2 linked regions of the Diceros bicornis minor genome follow. The protein of the gene in region 1 interacts with the protein of each later gene in a pairwise test. Links are inferred from orthologs where the notes say so. Each region holds a gene or a part of one and is shown on either strand. Other genes may lie near its edges. The genes, in order: ZBTB25 and SEPHS1.

Region 1 (8,371 bases):
GATGCCTCAGTTTAGAACTACTGTGTTAGAAGAGGGGACCAAGGAAATCCAAGAGAATATTTCACACTCTAAAATTATAGAAAAAAAGAACCAATTTCACAAGAAGTGCTCAAAATGTGGGAATTATATCAATCACATTAAATGAACAAAAATCAACAATTGTAACTCTAATTGTAATTTAAACTAAAAAATTAGCCAGATTAAGAAACAAAGTGGTCCCAAACTAGTAGGAGGGGCACTGGGGGCAGCGGAGGAACACACCATTTTCAGACAACTTTTTAAAAAAGTATTTGGGAAAAAGAGGTATTTACTCTCATATGCCATTACACCTATTTTCATAACATCTAACAAGTGATATGGAAATTCCAAATCTGAAAATATTGTTTGCAGTAAAATCTGCAGTAATTCCAGGCATCTGCTTAGGAAAATCCCTGAGAATATAAGAGAAGAGGGTAAGCAGCAGACGTGGTAGATGATACAGGAAGTGCAGTTATGCTCTAAAAACCTTTAACGGAACAGGGAAACGTTAGTTTGGGGCCTCCTGCCTGTTGGCAGACACAGCCAGCCTGCTACATCTCTAACCCATCTAACCAACATGTGGGATGCCTGATAAAGCCGCAGCACCAGGCAAACAAGAATGCTAACACTGGTGACTGCAAATTGCTAGTGGACCTTAAAAACATCAGAACGCTGTGAAGGAAAGAAAAAGATTCTTCTTAGTCCACTAAAAAAATAGACTGCATTTCTGAAAGAAAATATAAGGTACTCAAAGGACAGGAGAAAGGTGGAAAGCGACAAGGCTAGTACAGACCTAGAATACAGTAGAAACAAGAACGATTATAACTTCTGAATATAGGTGAGCCAATACTTCCTTTGCCATGGAACATTCCACAAACACCTTATCCGCATGGGCTAATGAAACCCTTTGCTTAAAGTGCCCAGAGTTTTTCAGGAGGAACAAAAAGTCATTGTATGATTAATTTGTAACCAGGGAAGGAACGAATTAGAAAAATTTCAAAAATAACCAGCTTAACACTATGGACACTTTTTCTCCAGATAAGGTCAAAAAAAAAAAAAAAAAGAGAAAAAGAAAAAATTCCTGCTGGCAAAGGGAAAGCAGAAGTTTTAATAAATTCAATCAATAATCCTGAAACTGATGTTTGCTTCAATTTCTTTCCTCTTCCTCCACCCACCCGAAGCAAGTTCAAGTAGCAATATCTTTCCTATCCTAGAGGGAATAATACTGTTCTAGTTATTATCAAAGCTACTATTATGAGTAAATACTATACGCAAGGCCTTGTGCTAAGTGCTCTATGTACATTATTTCTTTTAATCCTCACTGTGACTATACGTGTTATTTTTATTTCCATTTTACTGATGAAAAAACCCCTAGGCTTAGGACACATAACTAGCAAATAGTATCAAGTGGGGATCAAAAGCTAGGTCTGACTCCATAGCCTGTGCTGGTAACTATGAACTGGAGCAGTAGTTCTCTTAACATTCTTCTCTCAAAAGACTGAAGTTCACATGCAATTTGGAATAAATAAGCAGAAAGGGGGCACAGGAAGTGGTGTAGAAGTACTTTATAATTGATCAAGATAAGAGCACCTGCACTGCTTTTTTAAGACAAGAAAAAAGCCTGCAATAATATAAAACCCCCCCTCTTTTCTGGCCCTGTTACTACTAAAATGGACACGTTTTTCTTTAACAAGATGGTCAAGCACCACCTACAGACCATAGTAAATAAATCACTTTGGTTCAGCGGTGGGGAGGGCATTACGCAACACTTCCCAGCACAGCCCTGGGCAGGATATTTTACGGCCAAGGCACTTGGGCCCCTCCTCCCCAGCTAGACAGCCTGGCTCCTTCGCATTCCCCTCAGGAGATAGGGTGGAAGCACACAACTCCACTTTCTAAAGCAGAGAGGGCAGCTGAAAAGTCCTGCTCGGCCTCTCTGGGCAACCACAGGCGCCAATAAATCAGCCGCAGGCGATTCTCTCATCCCCTTCCTGGCTTGAAGTGGTAGCAAGATATAATGCAAAAGAGCACTGACTGGACTTGGGAGATAAGTGATCCAGACTTGAATTCTACTGCAAATGAAGCCAGGTAAATCTCTCTGAGCCTGTTTCCTCATTTGTAACATGGAGATACTACTACTTCCTTTTTGCAAAGTATTCAAAATTCATCTATGAAAGTAGCTAGCCACTGCAGGTACTCAAACAGCGACCAAACCTGAGCAGGATCCATCTCAACTACCTCCAAATAAGACACTCAGGGCAGGGCTGGGCAAAAAGGCGTAGCAAGTCACATGAGGTCCTCCCTCCTTTCTTGCTGACCACCCCTGTGATGTTCCACTGTTTCCTGATAACCTCCCAGCCATAAGAACTAATCTATCCCATGTACTATCCCATCAGTGTTCTGTTCCCTATTAAGGAGCTGATGTCTGATGACGGATTAATAGTTTATCCTTAATTAAAACATATCCAGATTGCTAAAGAGGACTTTGATGCCTTAACCTAAGGAAGCAAGCAATGCTGCAAACGTTGGTTATTCTTGCAGAGAATAGGGCTGAACTGGGGGGAGACGGGCTTTGAACTCCAAAGTACATCACAGGCAGTCTACTCCACCTAGAAATAGTGCCAACTCCATTCCTTAAAGTACCAGAGCCATCACACACTGGCCAAACCTGATTTCTCCATAACCTGAATTAAGGCAAGTATAATCAGCTCTGATGGAGGGTCTCTACAGTGAGTGGGTTAAACTGGCATTGGACTCCTGATGTGGTGCACAGCGCAACCCTGGAGCTCAGTTACTCAAGTGTAGGACCCCATCAAACTACACGCTCCTTTAGGCGTGGTGTCCTCATCTGTAAAACGAGAGGATGAACTAGATTTTCTATAAGGCCCCCTTCAGCTTTAAAATCTGATTCAAAAGTGTACTTTACACACTTGACAAAATCCTGTGAGAATCGACAGCTTTGCCAAAAAGATTTGTCTCAAGAGAATGAATGCCAAATTTAATCCCTTGGGGGAAATGGGCGTTAATTTATGAAACCTGTTGGCTGCTGTCAAGTTCCAGGTATAGCGCTAGGTGCTGCCTAAGCAGCTTGATTTCCCCAAATAATAAGCGCCAGGGAAGACAGTAATGAATAGGGCAAGCTCCAAAAACGAAAAACTCGATTTGCTTAAAGTAAGATTAATATAATCTGAAAAAAGAAACAAATGAATTTGGGGGGGACTTCCTGCCCTAGAAACGGGTAATCACCAACGGGGGTGGGGGAGGGAGAGGGAGGACAGCGGCCGCAGCGTCTCGCAGGCTGCACCTGGAGACCCGCCCACTTGCGAGAAGGGCCGGCGCGGCCGCCGGGGAAAAGCCGGAGGCCCGCCGGGACTTCCCGCTTGGGGTCGCACCCAGGCCCGCGGCGGGGAGGGCGCCATGCCTTTGCGGTTCCCCGCGCGCCGTCCCGGCTTGCGTCAGGCCCCGGCAGCGCCTTGTGTCGGCAGCGACAGGCGGCTCCGGGCATCCTCAGCCCAGCGCTCACATGCGGTTGCCATTTTCCTCTTGTGCCCTGATTGACATCTCAAATGGACCAAAAACACCCCTCTCCCCAGCTACTTGCATCTGTCCCGCGACCGGCGCAGCTGCAGGCCCCCGCCCAGGGCGGCTCGCGGCGGGAGGGACTGAGCCCGGAGCAGCCCACAAGGGCCGGGCCGCGTCGCTTACCCAGACGCCGCCGCGGCCGCCGGCCGGCTCCTCCGTGCGGGAGGGGCGGCTCCCGCGCCGTGTACGTCACGCGGCGGCGCCGGCTCACGCACCCCGCTGCCGGCTCTCGCGCGGCTTCCCGCGCCGGCCGCCCCGCGATGGGCCCACGTGATCGCGCGCCTGGTAGCCGAGGAACCAGGGGCGCGGGGCCGAAGTCTGTGTGCGTGCGTGCGCACTCGCCCGCTCGAGTGGCCAGGCAGGGGTCGGCGTGCGCTTGGGGCGCCTCCGCCACAGTCCCCAGTCGTGACTGTAGGCGGAAGCGTGCAGACGAGCCTGAGCGTCACAGGCTCCCCACACACAACCGCGTGACTTGGGGACTTTCCCCAGGGTGTGCAAAAGCACGGGCACCCCCTCTGTTCGGGGGTGGGGGTGGGCAAGGATGCGCCCGCGTGTTCGCGAGGAGAGGGGTGAGGGCGCGGGGCCAGGGAAGCTGAGCCGCGGGAATCTGGGAGGGGAGGCGGGCTGGGCGGGGTGGGGCATGGCGGGGGAAGTGACTCAAGGCCGGAGGCGGACAGGCCCATGGAAGGCAGGGTGGGGGGAGCGCGGGGAATGGGCAACCATGGACGGACTGGCCGCGCACGAGACAGGGTGATGGTGCTGGCACCCCCAGAACACCACGGACGTAGTGCGAGGGAAGGCCCAGCTGCTGGGCCCTACGGGGCAGGGGTCTGACATCTGGACGGAGTGGGAAAGCAGCATCCTGCCCTTGGGGAGTCGGGAGGAGCCCCGTCCTGACCAGCCCCGTCCTGACCAGCTGTGCAAACAGGAGGAGGAGGAGGTCCCAAGCCTACCCTTGGGAGAGGGGCGAGAGAGGTGGTCAGGCCGCCGCCGCGCCGGCCCCCGCGGTGCGGGTTGCGCCAGCCTTCTCGGAGCCCGACGCAGAAACTTGTTGCAACAAACAGGCGACCGCGGGTGCCCCTAGCAGCCAGCGGCGGAGTGGGTGGGCGGGCGAGAGGGAGGGGAAGGCTGGCGGACGCCGCAGCGAACTGGTGGGCAGACCCGGAGTCGCCGCGTAAGCGGGGCCGGCTCAGTGCGGTGCGGCAGGCGCGGCTGTGCGGCAGCGGAAGTCCTTTGTTGCAGCACAGTCCCTGGCAGAGCCAGAACCTCTCCGCGCAGCCCAGCCCGAGCGCCGCCGCCACTGCAGCTCGCGGCCCCTTCGCCTCCGCCCGCCTTTCCCGCGGCTGATTTGCCTTAAACTCCCTAAAATCTCCGCAGCCCCGGTTCCTGCTGCGGCCGGTGAGTATTTGCCAGTTGTGGGGCTATTTGCGCAACTTTGGGCCGGGCCGGAGGGCGGCGGACCGCAGGCCTGGCGGAGTGCGGAGCCGGAGCGGCGCCGACCCGTGCGGGGAGCCGGAGCGCGGAGGACGCGCGGCGAGGACCCGGCGACGGGCGGCTGCCGGGCCGCCTGCTCGACCCCGCCGCCCGCCGGCGCGCCTGGTCCGGGACGTGCGGCCTCCGTGGGTCGGAGGCGAAGCCCCCGCGGAGACTAGTTCCCAAATTAGTTACCTTCTTTTCCCTTTCTTTCTCTGCCTTTATTTTTTTGAGGGGGGAGGGGAGGTGTAGACGGGAGGCGGGAGGACCCGGTTGATTGACGTGCCCAGAGCCCGCTTCTCTCAACTTACAGCTGCGGCTCCTGGGCGGGTGGGAGGGGAAGTGTCCCGGAGCCGAGGCCGCAGACTTGGGCGCGCTCCGAGGGAGGAGGCGTAAGAGCCGTGCAAATTCTTGCCACGCTCTTTCCCACCTCCTCTTACCGGCACACACGGTTTTTTGTTCAGTAAAAAGTGGTAGGTCTCGGGTTTGGGAATTTTCAGTGGAAAAGATCTGTTTCCTGGGAAGAAAGTGCTTTCGCTTCCAGTGGTGGGCGCTTACTAAGAAGTTCTCTTAGTGGTCGGTACGTGTGTTGGACGTAGATTGGGAGTCGTTACCGCTAAAATATGTAGGCTTGGGTCTGAGCTCAGCCACCCTCCCAGTCTCCGTTTCTACCTAAGCAACGCGTCTACCTGATCTGAAAGGTTGACGTGACATTCTCCAAATTGGAAGTGTCAGGAAGATGTTGGTGAAAGTCCTTGATGTTTTCTGGGGACAGTAGGGCATTTGTATGTGTATAATAATATTCCTAAATGGAGCTTCAGCGTGGTAGGTACGCGCAGATTCTTCCTTGGCTTGAGTGTATTTCCATACAGTATGTATCACGGCAGGAAAACTGTTCCAGGAACAATTTTCTCTTTGACATTCGAACCCAAGGAGTGGTCCCAGGCATTTTGTAGGCGACTTAGAATCAGTTCCTTGAGCTAAAGTTCAAGGCCCTCGGGAGCAGATTTGGTGAAGGATGCAGTTCTGGTGATAACTTCAAAGCAATCACCACCTTGTCCTTTGAAGCTGAGAAATTAGATTCTATGACATTTTGCCAGTGCAGATGGATATGATGGGGAGAAATGGGAAGAATTAGGATACAAAAAGATGAAGTTTGAATGATGGCTGACCATAAGAACCTCAAAACTTTCCTTTTGAATTACTTGCTGGATGCCTAAAAGTCTCAGTAATAATGGAATGGCTTTGGGAGCTAGATGGGGGCTTCCTCATCTTAAACAGAGAAAATTGAAGCATAGTGGAGGTGAAATGCTTTTCTAAAGATTAATAAAGACAGTCTGCAGTAGAGCCTTCAGTTAACATCTTATATTCATTTTAAAAGCAGATTTCTCCATTATGACCAAATTTTCATGGTATAGAATAATTCAGGTTGAGCAGTCTTGCCTGAAGCCTTTCTATTCTTCCCACCCCACTATGATGGCCTGCTTCAGAGGAGGTGGGGGAGCCCTGGTGCCTCATTGTCGGAGAAAAGAGAAACCATGTTTAACCAGGACCTAGCAGGGCTGAGCACGCCTCAACCCCTCGCTCTTGACCTTATGTTTTGATTTCGCTTTAACGCTGATAAATTTTTGTACTGTTTTCTCATTCTCTTCTTTTGCCAGGCTCTGGGAAAGGTACAGTTCATGGAGCTTTTTAAAGATGTCTGTGTTCCTTGCAGCACCATTTCCCATTCTAATGTGCAGGAGAAAAGAAGGGCCTGCTTTCAGGCCTCTCCTCCAGCCAGGAAAAGTGCTAAGCCTCTGCTGCTAACCTTCTGGCCCAAAGAGGAGGAAACCATTTGGGATAAAAATGCAGAAAGACTACCATAGGTTTTTATTTTTAAGCTACAATCTGTTGTCTTCCAAAAAAAATCAAGGTACATTTGAAAAACATCTGCTTGAGAGGTCACTTTGGTCTGTATAGGATATTTTCTCCTATTTTTTTCTTGTGATAGTATTTTTTACAATAAAATATTGAAATTATTTTTATACTCATGTAAACTAAATTAAAAGTGACTCATGTCTGTTTTTCTCAAAATGGAAGTTATTATAAAATCCATGCTCTTTGTAAAAATTTAACCTATACTGAAGTACATATAGTACAAAAATGAAAGTCATTCTGACTCCCACTCCCCAGAGATAATCACTGTTAACGGTCAATTCCTTGTTTAAAACTCGAGAAGGCAACATTTGATCATAACTGTGCTGCTGTGTGTGCTTCCCCCTGCCTCGGGATGGCCTAGATGATTCATGGGCTCATGTTCTCTGTACACTGCTCTGGTTGGTAAGAATGGGCCAGGTGGAGGGAAAGGGAATGTTTTGCATTGGGCTGATTTAAAACTGTATGATTAAGTAACAGACATGAGAGTTTACATATAACAGGATGGCTATTTTGGGTTTGTCCTTATGAAGTACTTATTGTAGCTTGGTGGGCTAGTTCTCACACTTTTTTAATGTTAATGTTGATGTCCAGCCTCTGATGGGTTGATTTATACCGACTAAACTCCTTTAAACAAAATCCTCACATTTTTAGAGAGTTACATAATTTATAGTTGGGAAGGAGTTGATATATTTGTCATGACCACTGCTGATATGGGATGAGTTCCTCTTGATCAATATCCGGAGGTAGCTTGCCAAACATCAAGGAAAGGAAATTAGAGGAAAGAAGGGGATTAATGACTGTGTGGTTTTCAGATGTGGCATAGAAGGAGATGGTACATAGTTAAGATAGATTTCTAAGTATGTGACATGTATAGTCATTTGTCTAGTAACTACAAGAGATCTTAGTCAAAATACAGAATCTTTTACTCCTTAGCCTGGTATATTCGAGAAGACGGAACTGTGAAGTAGTTGACGATGTTCTGAAAACAAAGCCCCAAAATGGTACATAGAAGTTTAATCACAACATTGATTTGAGGGTGTTGGGGACATGGGTGTTTTTCACACTACTCTGCTATGAGTTGAAAATAGTTTTTGAAATAAAAGTGGAAAATTAAAGAATTAAATCACCAACCAGATTTTCTGTTCGTTGTGTATGGGGGATACATGTAATCCTTGTTAGAGATAACAGAAGAGCTCCATCCCCACTTCACATCTTCAGTATTGGAGGAGGGCTTGCTCTGAGGCACAGCGGCAGTCAGCAGATGGAAGAGGGGATGGGGAAGGGGCTGGGCATTCTGCCTGCAATATGGGGCTGTATGAGAATGGGGTGACTCTGGGAGGCTTAGAATGTCCCAAAGGGACACCAGTTAATAGTCATT
Region 2 (7,874 bases), on another chromosome or scaffold:
CAGAGAGGTGGGATGGGGATGGGATGGGAAAGTTGGAGATTTCCTTCCATGGTGTACATTTTCTTCTTGAGGTGCATCTGCTATTGAGGGCAGGAAAGTGTGGTATAGACTTTGGGGAGAATAATAAACATTAGGAATAACATGCTTAAGGATTTTCCAGCTGTCGGAAAAGCCCAGTTGGCACCGGAGATCATACATCTGTAATGGCACGATCTCCAAGTTCTAGGTTTTCTCCAGCCTAGCGAAGGGGCAGAGAAGACGGTGGGTGGAAGGGACCTAGGGCTGCACGTCTCAGGGTGGGTATGGCCAAAGAAGGGGACATGCGGGACACCAGGCCGCTGAGCTGCCCCCAGGGATCCAGGCTGGATGGAAGGAGAGAGACTGGTGGCCCCCATGCGGTTGAGGTGCAGGTGTCAGGGAGTAAAGAAATGAGAGGACTGTAGGATTGGAGGCAGGATGTTGGTGCTTAAGATTTCCAGGAACGAGAAGGTTCTTAGCACAGCTGCGAGAACGGGCGGCTTAAGTGGAGTGAAGCTACAAGTCATTAGATTTGAAATGTCTGTTGCCCACCAGGTCTTATTTCTGATCACACACTCCCACCGCCCTCCACAATGACAGATCAGCGGCCGTGTTTGAACGAGAATAACTCAAACAATGTAAGGAAGTGACCAAGCCGGAAACAGATGGTGGAATGCTGGATAGCAAGAACCCTAAAGACAGACAGGACATAAGGAAGGCAGGACAGAGGAAAAGTAATGTCACGGAGCTAGGAGAGTGTGGGAAGCAGATGAACAGGCAGCCTCCTGCCCTCTGGCTTTCTGAGAAAGCATCACCACCACCAGGGGAGCCCATCCAAAGTGTGGGTTCTTAGCACCTCCTACCCCCACATACACCTCAGACACGCTGTATTGATTTCCTGTGGCTGCCATAACAAATACCACAAACAGGGTGGCTTAAAACAACAGAAATGTATTCTCCCACAGTTCTGGAGGCCAGGAGTCTGAAATCAAGGTGTCAGCAGGGCCGTGGTCTCTCTGATGGTTCTAGGGGGGATCCTTCCTACTTCTGGTAGTTGTGGGCAATCCTTGGCTTGTAGCTCCATCACTCCAATCTCTGCCTTGTCTTCATGTGGCTTTCTTCCCTGCCTCTCTGTCTCCAAATCTCCCTTCTCTCTTTTTTTTTTTTTTTGGTGAGGAAGATTAGCCCTGAGCTAACATTTGTTGCCAATCCTCCTCTTTTTGCTGAGGAAGATTGGCCCTGGGCTAACATCCGTGCCCATCTTCCTCCACTTTATATGTGGGATGCCTGCCCCAGCCTGGCTTGATAAGTGGTACATAGGTCTGTGCCTGGGATCTGAACCCATGAACCCCAGGCCACCAAAGCAGAGCATGTGAACCTAACCACTACGCCACTGGGCTGGCCCCCAAATCTCTCATTTCTTATAAGTCATTGGATTTAGAGTCCACCCTAACCCAGTACGACCTCACCTTAACTTGATTACATCTGCAAAGACCTTATTTCCCAATAAGGCCACATTCATAGGTACTAGAGGTTAGGAGTTCAATATATCTTTTGGGGGGGGCACAACTGTTAAAGAAAAAACTTTATGACTCTTGTTAAAGATGGTAAGGCAGATGATTCAGGACCATTGTGATAGGTCACTGTGATAGAATTTTGCAGTGGGGGAGAGAGAGTGTGCACAATTCTGAACACAGCATGGGCAAGTGGGCCTTCATAACCAAGGACCAAGGTGGGGGGCAGTGGACGGGAAATTACTAAGACACATCAGGGGTGAGAGGGGTTCTGGCTAAACCGACCTAACAGGATTCTTGCTGAAGTCAGGCCAGGTGATCAGACGTCACCTGGGGGGATGGTGGAGGATGAGGAACATGATCAGATATTGAGGGTGATCAGATATCACTCTCGCTAAAACTGAATTTTACAAGGAAGTGCACAGTTGGGCCTAGGAGAAGGTTCATGAACCTGACTAAAGTTTGGTCAAGCAAAGAGTCTTTGTCATAATTCAACCCATTGCACCTGCTAGATATAATCTTCAGAGTGGGGCTGGTAAATTCGTATTTTTAACAAGCCTCCAGCAAGTAACGCAACCCAGGGGAACCATCTTTCAGGTGGAGCCAGTAGGACCTGAGAACCCAGGGGAGATGGTTCCCAAAGGAACAGGGCTCTGATGAGCCCACTGGGGAAGGCTCATAGAAAGGATGGCAGGAGAAAGAAGACTGACCTGGGGAAGCACAGAGGGAGGCTTGCGTTTAGGGCAAAGAAAGGGAAGGACAAGAGATCTGGTGGGTTATCTATCTCCAAGGTTGTAGACTGACTCTAGATGAATCGAGATCATCTGTGGCTTAGTCAAAAGTCTACAGCCTCTGCTCAAGAGAATGTGTCTCAAGCTGCAACCCCCAGGGCTGGGGGAGGAATGATTTTGAGCATGCTAACCCTCCCACAGACTCAGCAAGGATCAGCCTCTTGCTCGCCCAGCCATTCAATTTTGGAGCTCGGCAGGGCTCTGTCCAAGGTCTCTGTCACTTTTTTCCTGCATTCTCCCTACCGGTTAATCTCACCTCTTTCAGAGGCTTCAAACCCCATTTACATGCTGATGCACCCACGTTTGCATCTCAAACTCAGAACCCACCCCCACCCCAAGCGCCAGACCTAGTTTTACCAATTGCCTTCTGCCTAGACTATCCAGCGGGCACCTGAAATTTAACATTTCCAAAGCTGAACTCGCTCCAAAACTTCTTTGTCTTTCAGTAGTTTCTATTTCAGTTAGTAGCATCACTACCCACCCAGGCCCCCAAAACTAGAAACCTGGGGGTCATCTTATGCTTCTTCCTCCAACCACACACTAGATCACCTCAAATCCCCTTCCCTGTCTGCGTTCCCCGCTGCTTCAGTTCCAATACCCTCGACTCTGATCTACGCTTGACTAGTACAATTACCTCCTAACTAGAGATGTGGTCCTAGTTTCCCCTCTGGAGAGGGCATCCTCCCAGATGTGGTACAGCCATCGTTACAAGCTAAAGTTGTAAGCAACAAATCTGACAAACTCTTGCTGACTACAACAGAAATATCAAACTTCTCGGTATGACACGCGCGCCTTCACAGAGAGCCCTACTCAACTCTGCCGAATCACCTTCCTCCTAATCACCCAAAGTCTTTTTTTTCTAGTTGTGACATTTTTTGCCGAGAAACAAACGAAACCAAAACCCAACAACTCACAAAATCAATTTTAAAAGGGGAGGGATGAGGGGAATAAAGATATCCGTATCCTTCCTTGATTCTGGAGTATTGCCTGGAGATTGTGTGGACCTGTCTTCCCAGGTGATTCAGAGGCAAATCCAGGTGTGTCAACCACAGATTGATGCCAGTCTTACAAAAGTCCAACAAATCACATTAAAGCTAGGCTACTACATTCTTTCCTAACTTACGACAGTACACAGAAAGGACACAGAGAGGAGGAGCCTGTATCAGCCCGGTCTTCTAGGTTGCATCACTTCTGCATCCTCCCTTAGATTAAAACCCTGGGGAATTGTCAAGCAGAAATTTTAAGAATGAAAAAGGCATCTCGGCAGCCTGCAAACCTGACGCGCAACCTAAAGCACAGTTCGGTTGCCAAAAACATTTCTGGTCAAAAACACATTTGGAAAATGCTGAACCACTCTAAAGTTTGGTCGGCATTCCTCCACACTCCTCAGTTTTAAGGGAAGCCCTAAGATGTAGCATGAAAGCATTTTTGCTTTATTTCAATCAGCAGAGCATCAGGAAGTTGAGAGAAGTAATTTCACAAGCCGAAGCTCTCCTATCGGTGTTAATTGAAACCCATAGGGTATTAGGCTGCCATGTTTACTTGGACATGTGAAGAGCAAACAATGCAACTGAGGATCCGTAAGCTCTCACTTCCTACCAAGCGTATTAAACTTTCAAGAAACTGCAGGATGTGTGCATATTCACCAAGTCTCATCTTAACTCCTGAGCCGGGCTAAACAATAGAAGGGAGAGACGGTGAAGTCATTATTAATCAAACGCGCCGTTTGCTTTTAAATCTTTCATTGTAGCAGAGGCGGCTTTTCCTCTGCTCCTAATCTTTCTCAGATTCTTTCCACGGTCATTGTCCTCCAGGACAACACGCCGGGAGCGCTCGGGGAGCAGGTACAGCGACCCGCAGAGCGTGGCGCGGTTGAGCCGGGCCAGGTTTTGGAAAACATTCCCGGCCCTTCCAGCGGGTCAAGAAAAAGTAGGTGGCCTGGGCGCCAAAGGCGGCTGCCAATGCAACTCGCAACTTTTGAAATCAATCCTTTTTGCATCATGCAACGGATGCCACCGCTCCTCGGGTTTGCAACCCCCCACCCCTCCCCCGAGACCAATCATTGCCGCGCTCGGGCCTGCACACCGCCCCCGCCCCCTTCCCGGGCCGCACGCAGCCAGCGAGCCGCTCCGGCCGCGGCCCGCCGCCTCTTAAAGGGAGGTAGCCGGCCCTTAAAGGCCCCTCGCGCGCGGCGCACGGCGGCCCCGTTCCCGGCAGGGGCCCGCCGAGCCAGGCCGAGCCCCCGCGGCGCCCAGGCGCGGCCCGGGGCCCTCCCGCCCTCCGCCGCCGGGAGCGGCATTTTTATTCAGGCGACGCTTAAGGGAGCCCGGCCGCGCCCGGTGCATTGTGGGAGCGCCGGAGTCCCGTTCGCGGGAGGAGGAGGAGGGCGCAAGGCGAACCGGTAAGCGCCCGGCTGGGGAGGGGGGGCGAGACACCAGGCTTAAAGGGGCATATTCGTCCGCAGGCCCATGGCGGCCGTGCAGATCCCCCTCCGGGCCGCCGGGGCCCGCCGGGAGCCGTGCACGGCCGGCGCGCTCCAGCGCTGCCTGGAGAGGGGCAGAGCCAGGGCTTGGTGGGGCCGCTTTAAAAAGAAGCACCGCCCGCGCCGCCGCCGCCGCCGCCGCGCGGAGCCGGGGAAGGAGGGAGGGAGGAGGGCGGGGGAGGAGTGGAGGGGGAGGGCGGCGGCGGCGACGCAGGGGTTAATTTTTTCGCCCGCCGACATTTTTGCGCGGCGGCGGCGGCGGCCCGCGCGCGCGGCGGGAGAGCCCAGCGCGGTCCCCTGGGCGCGGCGCGCGGCGCCTCCCGGCCCTCCCCGCCCCCACGCGCGCGCCCTCCGGCCCGCGGGCGCCGCCTGACCCTGGGCGCCCCGGCCGCGCCCGCCCCGCCGCGGCCGGGGGGCCCGCGGGCCGCGCGCCGCTCCCGTCGCCGCCGCCGGGAGAGCATGGCCCAGCCGGCGGCGCCGCGCCGCCTCCGCCCGGCCGCGGCCAGCCCGCCGCGCCGCGCCGCACAAAGAGCCCGGGCCCGGGGCGCCTGTAGAGGCGGCAGCCTGAGACTTAAGGCGTCCCCGAGTCCGGTCCTCCGCGCTCTGGCCGCCGCCTCGACGTGCGCTGCATGGGGAGCGCCGGGGCCCCGCGCCCGCGTCGCGGTGGCCACCCCATTGTCTGCTCCCTGGGCTTAGGGGCTGGGGGGTAGGTAGGTACCGGGCGGGGCTGCCCCTCTGCTCCCCCACTCACTGCGCTCCCCCGGCGCCGTAGCCCGCTTTGCGCGCTCGGTTACAAACAGTTTCAACGTAGCCGAGAAAGAAAGGGTTAACCTTCGTCTTTAAATATTCATATCGTTGTTTTAAAGGTGTAAACATGCGGCTTTCTGGGTTGGAGTTGACTGCCTCTTCTGATGCAGATTGAACCCCCCCGTTAATTACTCATTTCCCCCGAGCACTCCGCCCTTTCTCATCCCCTCCAAAAATGTACGGGTTTATCTTTTTAAGGTTCGGATGTGAGTGTGTGTGTGATTTGGGTTTCTCGTTCCTTTTGGAATTTTAAAACTCCTGTGTGCCTTCTGGACTTAGGGTCTCTCAAACTTTTTTCCCCCTTAAAAATTTGGAAAGATGTAAATTATGTCTAAAAGGAAGTTAATCCCCCAAATGCCAAATTCCTCTCCCCGCCTTTTTTTTTTTTGTTGTTTTTTTGGATAGGGGTGCAGGTAGGAAAATAACTGGATGCCTCGTGAGTTGGATTTTTTTTTTTTCCTGGTATGAGTGAGGTGGTGTTAAATGCGAGGCATTTTGTGAGGAAAGGACTTGTTTTTGATCCAGACACTTCCAAGTTGAAGTGGTGGTAAACTTTTCCTAACTCTAAAATGGCTTCAAAGTTCCCATGTCGGTAAACTGGCTCTGCCCGCCTGCCGCCTTCGTTTTGGACAGGTTGTTCATGAATGTTGGAAGGTTTATTCCTGTACAATTGTAGGTTTCAAACTGAAATCCTTGCTCATCCCAAACGTGTTTTTGTAAAGTCGGTTTGGATTACTGCCCAAACTCGGGCTTTGTGAGATTTATTTTCAACTGGCGATGTGCTTCCCAGGGATCGAAAACTATAAATGGGAATTATGTTCTTAATCATAAATTTTAGAGGGGAAACCAACCCTAAAACTTGGGGCGTATGTAATTCTATGCCCAATAAAGTATCACTCGTCCGGTTTGTAAACCCTAGGAGCACATGTAAGTTTTTGGTTTAGCCCCAAAGGCCTCAAACTTAGAAGAGCTTGTTGCAGAAACTTCCAGTGGTACCAAGTATCATAAATGTTAGTGATTTAGTAGGGTTTAATTTATCGTTTTAGTTCTGCAATGAAATGGTAATGAGCAGTAGCATGTTTTGTCAGCGATGTGTTTGTACTAGTTTGCTGGGTGGGATGTTTGCTTTCGAGGAAATAGCACTGCATTAAAACATCAGAGAACTTTCCACTGCTCTCTTTGAAGAAAATGATCCTTGTGGTGTTAAACAGCCATCCCAGTTTGCAAGTTGTGTTCTGTAGTGAGGCCTCCTATTAGTTTTGGATCGTGTTGTGTACTTTTGGCTCGGAGTGAAAACGTGTTTTTCTAAAATGAGACTTAGCATCATGAAGAATTTCATCAAACGCATTTCCATCCACATCCATTTCCCGCAGAGTTTCTATGAGACGTTTTATTTGTGACATTGCAAAGGTTTTCCAGAAAAGTCGCTTTAGCCAGAATGTTTAATTTCTGAACTGAAGTGCGTCTAGGTTGACAGGTGAAGTGACAAGAGGTGTTCTCACGGTGCTGCCTGCTAGAACCTTTGGGGCTTAGTGTTCAAAATGGTGCTGTGTCACGGAAGCCTGCGGGCCCATAGTTCCTTCTTCAGAGGAGGTCTTCCTCGCTGCCCCTCAGAGCCACAGTTATAACACAGACGTCAGATCTTCCTCCGTAGAAGATGTCTGTGATGGTGTTGTCACTTTATCAAATGACTTGCCCTGACTTATGCATCTCTGTGGCGAACTGTTGTGGCCCCAAATCACTTTCCCTGTGGTGTTGGTGATTTTAGGCCTTTTGACATTTATTTTTCACTATGGTGTGTTCCCTTGATTCTTGGCAAGTACTGGTGAGAATTCTTTAAATGGTGTCTTTGTGTCTTGGGGCTACCTAGGTGGATCTGTCAAGAAACCAGCCGGCTAGGAGAGGGAGGGGAGGAGCCCGGCTGTGAGACGTGTGGGCCCAAGAACCATGTCTACGCGGGAGTCCTTTAACCCGGAAAGTTATGAATTGGACAAGAGCTTCCGGCTAACCAGATTCACTGAACTGAAGGGCACTGGCTGCAAGGTGCCCCAAGATGTCCTGCAGAAATTGCTGGAGTCCTTACAGGAGAACCACTTCCAAGAAGATGAACAGTTTCTGGGAGCAGTCATGCCAAGGCTCGGTATGTGAACCGTTGTTTCTTTATACTTCCCTGAGTAAAGCGTCTCTGACTGCAGGCCAGTCAGTGAGTCAAAAACCAGACTTCTCTCCTCTCGTATTGGTTTTTTTTTGTCTGTCTTTCTA

The links.
Region 2: the proteins of ZBTB25 (region 1) and SEPHS1 interact in binary tests that used the Homo sapiens proteins (3 or more experiments, as listed by UniProt). The two-hybrid records come from large-scale screens. The link is inferred for Diceros bicornis minor from reciprocal best matches to the Homo sapiens genes ZBTB25 and SEPHS1.

Annotation. Positions count from the first base shown.
Region 1 is NC_080763.1:13,580,328-13,588,698, forward strand, and holds the start of ZBTB25 (zinc finger and BTB domain-containing protein 25), read right to left. Parts: upstream 3,788-8,371; 5' UTR 3,724-3,787; intron 1-3,723. UniProt on the Homo sapiens protein: May be involved in transcriptional regulation.
Region 2 is NC_080775.1:14,120,841-14,128,714, reverse strand, and holds the start of SEPHS1 (selenide, water dikinase 1), read left to right. Parts: upstream 1-4,637; 5' UTR 4,638-4,724; intron 4,725-5,347; exon of another isoform or gene 5,348-5,515; intron 5,516-5,598; exon of another isoform or gene 5,599-7,482; 5' UTR 7,483-7,559; coding exon 7,560-7,752; intron 7,753-7,874. UniProt on the Homo sapiens protein: Synthesizes selenophosphate from selenide and ATP.